Rattus norvegicus: one gene and its partner. The protein of the gene in region 1 interacts with the protein of each later gene in a pairwise test. Links are inferred from orthologs where the notes say so. Each region holds a gene or a part of one and is shown on either strand. Other genes may lie near its edges.

The links.
Region 2: the proteins of Sf3a3 (region 1) and Zfp212 interact in binary tests that used the Homo sapiens proteins (3 or more experiments, as listed by UniProt). The two-hybrid records come from large-scale screens. The link is inferred for Rattus norvegicus from reciprocal best matches to the Homo sapiens genes SF3A3 and ZNF212.

The regions. Positions count from the first base shown.
Region 1 is NC_086023.1:142,250,880-142,255,507, forward strand, and holds the start of Sf3a3 (splicing factor 3A subunit 3), read left to right. Parts: upstream 1-1,527; 5' UTR 1,528-1,590; coding exon 1,591-1,686; intron 1,687-1,962; coding exon 1,963-2,010; intron 2,011-2,309; coding exon 2,310-2,362; intron 2,363-2,463; coding exon 2,464-2,569; intron 2,570-3,605; coding exon 3,606-3,678; intron 3,679-4,628. UniProt on the Homo sapiens protein: Component of the 17S U2 SnRNP complex of the spliceosome, a large ribonucleoprotein complex that removes introns from transcribed pre-mRNAs.
Region 2 is NC_086022.1:78,257,349-78,261,353, reverse strand, and holds part of Zfp212 (zinc finger protein 212), read right to left. Parts: intron 485-4,005; coding exon 95-484; intron 1-94.

The DNA of each region.
Region 1 (4,628 bases):
TCTGGAAGATAGCCACTGAAGCGTTATACCAGCCCCTTCTGTCTCTATGGAGTATGATGCTTTCATGGTTCCTTAGAGCGTTCCCTCACTGCTGAACAGTGTCCTCTGATAACACGTTTATCCATTCACCCATGAATTAGGTGTGTATGTATGTAAGAGTGGATGGCATGTGTACCAGGGTGCCCAGTCATTCCTTGGACCTGGAGATGCAAGTGGTTGTTAGCCACCTGACTCGCGTGCTGGGAACTGGATTCAGATCCTCCGGAAGAGCAGCGAATGCTCTTAACTGCCGAGCCATATCTCCAATCCCAATTAATGGACTCTTGGGTTACATGCAGTTTTGGTGAATTATGAATAACAGGAGCATATGGACAATGTTTTCATTTCTCTGCCTAGAGTAGGCATGTAGTAGAGTCCCTTTTCTTGTGTTGATGTTGAAACCTGTACCTTGGATTTCACACGCGTATGTGTCCATGCGTGTATCTGTGCGTGCGTGCATGCGTGTATATGTTGTTTTGAGATAGGGTCTTATCACATAGCTCAGGCTGAACTTGAACTTATTTTCCTCTTACCTCAGTCCCCTAAGTCTGGATCACGGGTGTGAGCCACTCGACCTTGCTCTAAAGCTGTTTTTCCCAATACATGCTAGACAGGCACTCTATACCAATTCACGCTTTGTCCCTATTCTGTTTGTTTGTTTGTTTGTTTGTTTGTTTGTTTGTTTGTTTGTGTTTATTTCCTGAGACCGGGTCTTTATGTCGCCCTGGCTGTCCTGGAACTCACTATGTAGATCAGACTGGCCTAGAACTCAGAGATCTTCCTGCCTCTGCCTCCTCCTCTTCCTCCTCTGTCAAAGAAAGTCAGCCTAGATTTCATTTTCTAAGCCATACAGTGGCCGGGTATGGTGGCTCAGACCTGTAATTCCAGCAAGTTTCTGCGAAAAGCAGAAAAATTAAGAATTACAGAGAATCAGAAGCCAACCTGTATCAAATAGCAAGCCTACCATTGCTTGAGTGTACTACATTTTTCTTAAAGACTCCTCTGCTAATAAACAAAGGTTGTGTTTTAGTATGAGTAAGTATGACTTTTGTTAAGAACAAAATCACCACCATCTGCATTTTACTGACAGACATACTAAAGTCCAGACAAGGGGAAAACATCACCAGAGGTCACACACTGAAAACTGGAGCTTCCAGGTCCCCTTTCCTGTCTGTATCCTTCAGTTTATCGGTTCAAATGTTAGTGTGTCCCAGCCGGCCCAGCTGTCTGCAGCAAGCCTCAGGCAAGCCAGCTGTCTCTCACCCTCAGCCTGCAGGATTCTTGCAGGCAACCTAGAGACATCTTTCATCGCTGAAGCATCGCGTTTTCAGACCTCCAGCCAGCAGGGGGCAGTGTAGCTACTGTCGCCGGTAGCATCGACTTGCTCTCTTTGTGGTGTTCATTTTTTCTTGAGTCCCCCAAGCCACTTCCGGGACACGCGGAACTTTGGTGCAGCCGGATACTGCGCTCAGAGACACGGGCGTGCAAGGCGGCAGGCAGTGTTTCCGGCAGTGTTAGCGGTCTGAATTGAAGTACCGCGGCCAAGAGAAAATGGAGACAATTTTAGAGCAGCAACGGCGCTATCATGAGGAGAAAGAACGGCTTATGGATGTTATGGCCAAAGAAATGCTCACTAAGAAGTCCACGGTGAGTGAACAGTGGTCGGGGTCGCATCAGTAGGAGGGCCTCGGCCCTCAGCGGAGCTCTCGGCGTTTTATTTGGTCTCAGACCCTCCCTGCGCCCCATCTTCATCTTCCTCCTAAGCTGTCTGGGCGCTCTGGCCTCCTTAACGTCTTCCGAGGGCCCAGCAGCCCTTCTGCTTCAGCCCCTGAGACCTAAACCAATAAGCTCATCCTTCGGGTGGCCTTTCCAACTCCTGAACTCAGAGTAACAACGTATGTGTTACCGTTTGCCTTTCTGCAGCTCCGGGACCAGATCAATTCCGATCACCGCACTAGGGCCATGCAAGATGTGAGTGCCCCGCTGTCTGCTTCCCTTTGGGTCTGGCTGGGCGGGAAAAGTGCTGGCAGGGAAGGTTTGGAGGCTCAGCGTGATTCCTGCCCCTGGGTTCTTAGTCAGATATCCTCTCTCTGCCTCTCAAAAGTGTGGGCGACTACTCTGGGTTCGGGCTGTGTTGTAAAAGTGGTGGAACTTTCAAGACTTTGTATCCCGTGAGGTTTCCTTGGGTCTTGCCAAGACTCCCTTTGTTGTTTACCTAGCCCCATTGTACAAATTTGCTCCATTCTGATGGCTTTGTGTTTGCGTTTCAGAGATACATGGAGGTCAGTGGGAACCTGAGGGATTTGTATGATGATAAGGATGGGTAAGTGACAGTCACATCCCTTCTAACAGTGCTTCAGGGGAGCCATGGTGAAATGATGGCCTTTGTGCTTTATGCACTTTGAATTTGCTGATATCTTGCAGATTACGAAAGGAGGAGCTCAATGCTATTTCAGGACCCAATGAGTTTGCTGAATTCTATAACAGACTGAAGCAGATAAAGGAATTTCATCGGAAGCACCCAAATGAGGTGAGGCTCCCAAAGTAGTTTCCCAAGACCTATCCTTAAAAAAAGGAAAGATGCGAGGAAAATGGTGGCATGCCATATAGATGTCTGTCCAAGAAAGAACGTGCCACTTCACTGCAGTGAGCACAGTTAGGCGACATCCTTCCTGGTGTTCCTCTGCAGTAAGAGAACACAGGAAGCACTAGAGCCTATTTCTTTCTGTCCAGTGAGAGATCGGGTGACCTTTGCACCAGAGTTCTTTATTGGTTTAGTTCCAATTTTGTCTCCCTCATAGTAGCTTTCCCCCTACCCAAACTTACTTTTTCCTTTTTATCTCTCTTAAGAATTTCTCCCACCCAATACAATGTGCTCCTAGCTCTGGCTTGAAATCTACCAACACAATTGTACTGTGCTCATTCCCAGAGTTCAGTGCACCTTCAGAACTCGTGTAAAATATCTCTTGTGGACTACCTCCTCCAAGGCAGTCCTTCCTTAGGATGCTGTATTTGTGGCAAGGAATCAGACGTCTGCCCAGTTATAAAGCAAGGGAAGCTGAGAACACTAAGTAGTGAGCTCCTCTGTACACTTAAGGTCAAAGCGAGCATTAGAAGCCCAGCCTTAAAGACTTGCAAGTATAATATGCATATGTATATACTGTAAATATGTGTGCTTATGATGAGATATAGTTCAGGCTTTTAAAGAAAAAATTCCTGACATTTGAGACAATATGTATATAAAAAAAAACCTGTCAAACATTTTATTTGTATTTTATGTTTGGTAGATTTAAAGAAATAGAACAAATTTGTTGAACGGTTTTTTTTTTAATACAGTATCTAGATGTACATGGACAACCAAATAGGAAACTCCACAAATTGATGTTTTAAGAGTGTTTTATAAACTGATGGTAAAGACTGTATGTTTGGATTTAAAAGAAGCCCAGTAGATGAATAGTTTCACACTAAATCTTGTAGATTAACCAATCAGTGAAAAAAAGCAGTCCAGCCCTGTACTACAAGCCTGAGACATTGCCAGACCCACCTGAGCTTTTCTCTCCCACCAGATCTGTGTGCCAATGTCGGTGGAATTCGAGGAGCTCCTGAAAGCTCGAGAGAATCCAAGTGAAGAGGCACAAAGTAAGTAATGGCTTGATGTTTCTTTCTAGGGAATCCAAATCCGTTCTGAGCTATATAGCTACGACCTATGTTTTTTTTCTTAACCTCTTTTTAAATTTTGTCTGTATGGCTGTTTTGCCTGCATGTATGTCTATATACCACGCGTGTGTGTGATGGCCTAAAGAAGCCAGGGGAAGGATCTACTCCTACTATAGTTACAAATGGCTAGCTATCGTGTAGGGATTAGGATTCAAACTCAGGACCTCTGCAAGAGCAGCCAGTGTTCCTAACTGCTGAACCCAAGAGCCTGTCTCTAAAAACATAAATAAAGGCTGATTGTGATGAGTATAAATTTAATCTCAGCCCTCAGGAGTCAGACAGTTCTCTGGATTAAATAAAGGCCAGACTTTCTTTTTTAATTGTATGGTGAGTTAATATCTTTTTTGTTGATATTTATTTATTCATTTATTTATATCTGCATTGGTGTTTTGCCTACATGTATGTATGTTTAAGGGCATCAGATCTCAGAGTTACAGACAGTTGTGAACTGCCATGTGGATGCTAAGAATTCATCTCAGGTCCTAATGAAGAGCAGTCATTGCTCCTAACCGCTGAGCTATGTCTCTAGCCCCATTATTTTGTTTATCTTGAGACAAAGTTTCTCTCTAGCCCTGGAACTCACTCTACAAACCAGGCTGGCTTCCAATTCAGAAATGGTCTGCTTATACCTTCCGAGTGCTAGATAAAGGCATTAAAGGTTTGCACCACCTCTGCCTAGTTTCCTTTCTCTCTCCTCTCCTCTCTTCCCCTCTCCTCCACCCTCTCTTCCTTTCTTTTTTAAAGATGAGAATCTCAGAGCTAGAAAGATGGCTCAGCGGTTAAGAGCACTAATTGCTCTTCCAGAGGTCCTGAGTTCAATTCCCAGCAATCACATGGTGGCTCACAACCATCTGTAATGAACTCCAATGCCT
Region 2 (4,005 bases), on another chromosome or scaffold:
TCTGACTCCTAGGAGTACCATCCAGATACCAACATCTTGATTAGTCAAGGCTGGGTTCCCCTTCTTGCCTAACTTTTAAATGTAGAGGTTCTACCTTTGGGGTCTCCCCCTTGCTGCCTGGGGGCAGTCGAAGGACCCAGAAGTTCTTGTTTCGAAGCAGGTTCTCCACATTCTCCAGCCGTCGCTGCAGCAGGCCGTACTCCTGCAGTAGGGTCCCCAGCACGGCCCACTTGCCCTCCAGCTGGTTGCTGAACTCCACAGCTGTCTTCTCGAAGTCAGCCAGCTTCTTCTCCGCTGACCCTGCGCGTCCCTCCAGGCTCTGCAGTCGGGCAGCCTGGGATTCCATCTTCTTCTCCACAGCTTGAATAGCAGCCACCACTGTCCAAAGTGAGATTTCTGTGGTCTGGAAGTACTGGCTTTTCTCTGTTGTCTGTGAAGGTGGTGTGGCTGGAGCTAACGGTGTGGAGCGCCTTTTCCTCCTGTGCTGTAGGATTGAGGATACAAGGCCAGTGAGACATGGTCATTTCCAAATATCAAATAAAGAAAACAAGTCCAAGTCAAAGACTCAGAATTACCTAGCTTTCTTAAAACAAACAAAAACATACAACATACCCAAATGTACTTATTCTGACAGTGTGCTGGTTAGTTTTATGCCAACTTGAAACAAGCTAGAGCTACTGGAAAGGAGGGAGCCTCAATTAAGAAAATGCCTCCATAAGACTGGGTTATAGGCAAGCCTGTAGGACATTTCCTTAATAGTGATTGATGGGGGAGGGCTTAGCTCATTGTGGGTGATGCCATTCCTAGGCTAGTGGTTCTGGGTTCTTAAAAAAAAAAAAAAAAAAAAAAAAAAATCAGGCTGAGCAAGCCAGTATACGACGGGAACAAGCCACCCCTCCACAGCCTCTTTACCAGCTCCTGTCTCCAGGTTTCTCCCCTGTTTGATTCTACCCTGACTTCATTCAATGATGAACAGTGACATGGAAGTGTAAGCCAAATAAACCCTTTTCTCTCCAACTTGCGTTTGGTCATGGACAGCAATAGAAACCCTAACTAAGACGGAAAATGTCATGTGTGGCTGGGTATGCAACTCTGTTGGTATCATACTCACCTAGCACGGACAAAGCCCTGACTTCTATCTAAAGCACCCCATGAACCATGGTGCATGCTTATAATCCCAGCACTCAAAATGGAGGCAGCTGGATCAAAAGTTCAAGGCCAAGCGTGGGCTACAAGAAACCCTGTCTCAAAAGAAAAAGGGGGATGGGGACTTCTGGGAAGGAAGACATGTATATTTTATAGTAATTTTGAAAGTATTAGAAAAATAGACAAAATACCACCATACAGAGTTAAGTAAGCTTTTTCCTCAATTTGTTGACCTCCAAATGTATGTGTACATACATATCCATGCACATATACACACAAAGTAAGTAAAGAAATGTAAAAAACAGCTTTAAGTCATTTTAAGTTGGTGAGATTGCTCATCAGCTAATGGCCAAACCTGAGGACCTAAGATCCCTGAAGCCCACATGGTGGAAGCAGAGAACTGGCTCCTACCACCTGCCATCTGACCACACGAGTATGATGGCAGGCTCACACCTACATACATATATTACCACAAAATAAATAAAGCAGGGTCAGGCATGTTGGCACATTCCTTTAATCACAACACAGGTGGATCTCTGAGTTTATGCCCATCCTGGTCTATATTGTGCGTCCCAGGCCAGCCAGAGCTACATAGAGTAAGACCTTGTCTCAGAAAGTGCAATAATAATAAATAAAAATAAGTAGTTGGGGTTGGGGATTTAGCTCAGTGGTAGAGTGCTTGCCTAGCAAGTGCAAGGCCCTGGTTTCGGTCCCCAGCTCCAAAAAAAGAAAAGAAATTAAAAAAAAAAAAAAAAGAAATTAAAAAAAAAAAAGAAATAAAAAAAAAGTAGTCAACAGTTACCCACTAATCCGTAATATCATTCTCTACCATAAGCCAAATTTTGCTGTCAGCCTGTTTCCATCATTTTTTTCTTTTTGTTAATTGTTCTGTCACTTTACCAATATAATCTTAGCTGTACAGTAGTTACTGATGATCTCTTTATTTTATAGTAGTACCTTGACTTTTGACCCACAGACATCCTACAAACATGAGTTTCACAAAAATATCTCCAGAGACGTTTGGAAATGTGTCAAATTCCACAGATAAATTTGAGAAATAACATTTTTAGGATAAAATGTTTTGACCCATACACAAAGCACGTTCAACATTTTAACATAGTGTGCCTAGTACCAATGCAGACCAGAAGAGGGCATCAGATCCCAAAGCTGGAGTTACAGATGGTTTTTAAGTCACCACATCGCAGCTGGGAATCAACCTGGGTCCCCTGCAAGAGCAAGAAGGGCCTAAACCACTGAGCCATCTTTCCAGCCCCTTTCCTTAGTTCTTTCTCTTTTAATCTATATTTTATCAATATACATAGATATATGCTACTAGAAAATGGATATGGTATTAATAACATTGAGCATATGCTTTTCTTCAGCTCACTACCCTATTCCTATTTTTGGGAAGATTTTTCCCTTCTCTTTTTTGAGGCAAAGTCTTGCTATACATCTCTGGCTATGCTGGAACACACAATATAGAACAGACAGGCTTTGGGGGCTAGACAGCTCTTCCAGTAGAGATCCTGAGTTCAAATCCCACCAACCACATGGTTGCTCACAACCATCTGTAATGAGATCTGATGCCCTCTTCTGGTGTGTCTGAAGACAGTTACAGTGTACTTACATATAATAAATAAATCTTAAAAAAAAAAAGACAGGCCTTGAACTCAGAGATTCATCTGTTCTGCCTTCCAAATACTGGGACTAAAGGCAGAGTCATCATGATTAGCTCATCTAATTAAAACTCATTTTATTGTTCATACTAGCTACATCTTAAGACTTGACAGTCCTTGTATCTAGGGACAACAGCAGCAAATGGGGCAGAAAATCTCTGTCCTCTCCACAGGTTCTAATGGGTGAGCAATAATACTCATGACTTTTTTCTACTAAATAAAATACATTATATTTGAATATTCTATAATGAGCTTTGACTGTCATTTTTTAAATCTACCCAAAGCTAAGTAATTAGCCTCAAATTAGTTTAAAGATGTCATTTCAAGATGGAGAACTGAATCTTTTTCCAAGAAATGCATTCAATCTCTGGCAACAATATATTTTTTAGCCTAGTTACTTTTAATTAGTATTGTTGACAAATTGTTCTCATGTCCTTTTATAGTTAACCATATGTATAGACATCTTCTAGCTGTATTTGCTATAAGCCAGAAGGTCGGATTTTTCTGTACTGGCAGTCTTTATCTTTTACTTCAATTATATTTATTGTAACTGACTCTTTAGTCTTTAGCAATTATCCTAGAAATTATAAAAAGTATATTTAAAAGGCCACAAGACTTCTGAATTCTGATCTCTTCTTCCTAGCTTCTACATCAATGCTGACAAATAGTTTAATTACCTGTCATTACTTCAACAAATTACTATTCTATTCAGCCAGGCATTTAATCTTAGCACTTGGGAGGCAAAGCCAGGACAATCTCTGTGAGTTCAAAGCCAGCCTGGTCTACATATTGAATTCCTGGACAGCCAGAGTTATGTAGTAAAGCTCTGACTCAAAAAAACAGTCACTTGATTTCATAAACATTAAATGTGATTGTTCAACAAATGCTCTCAAAGTTGGCTTCCCAACTCTGTTCGTATCTTAGGAGTTCCCACTTTCTGTCTTTGAGTCATAAGTATTACTTTTACTTATTTTGGATTGTTGCACAAAATAATGGGCTTATGATTTACTATAAATTTCAAATATTATTTACATGGTTTTTCTCAATATTTTTTATTTTTAATTGTTATGATCAGGACATGTATCTGGCCTAGCAGTACAGAATCCTCACCTGAAGAGATGTGTGAGAATACAAATATATTCAAAGTATGTTCAAGAACAGTTTAAATAAATCTTACAATGTC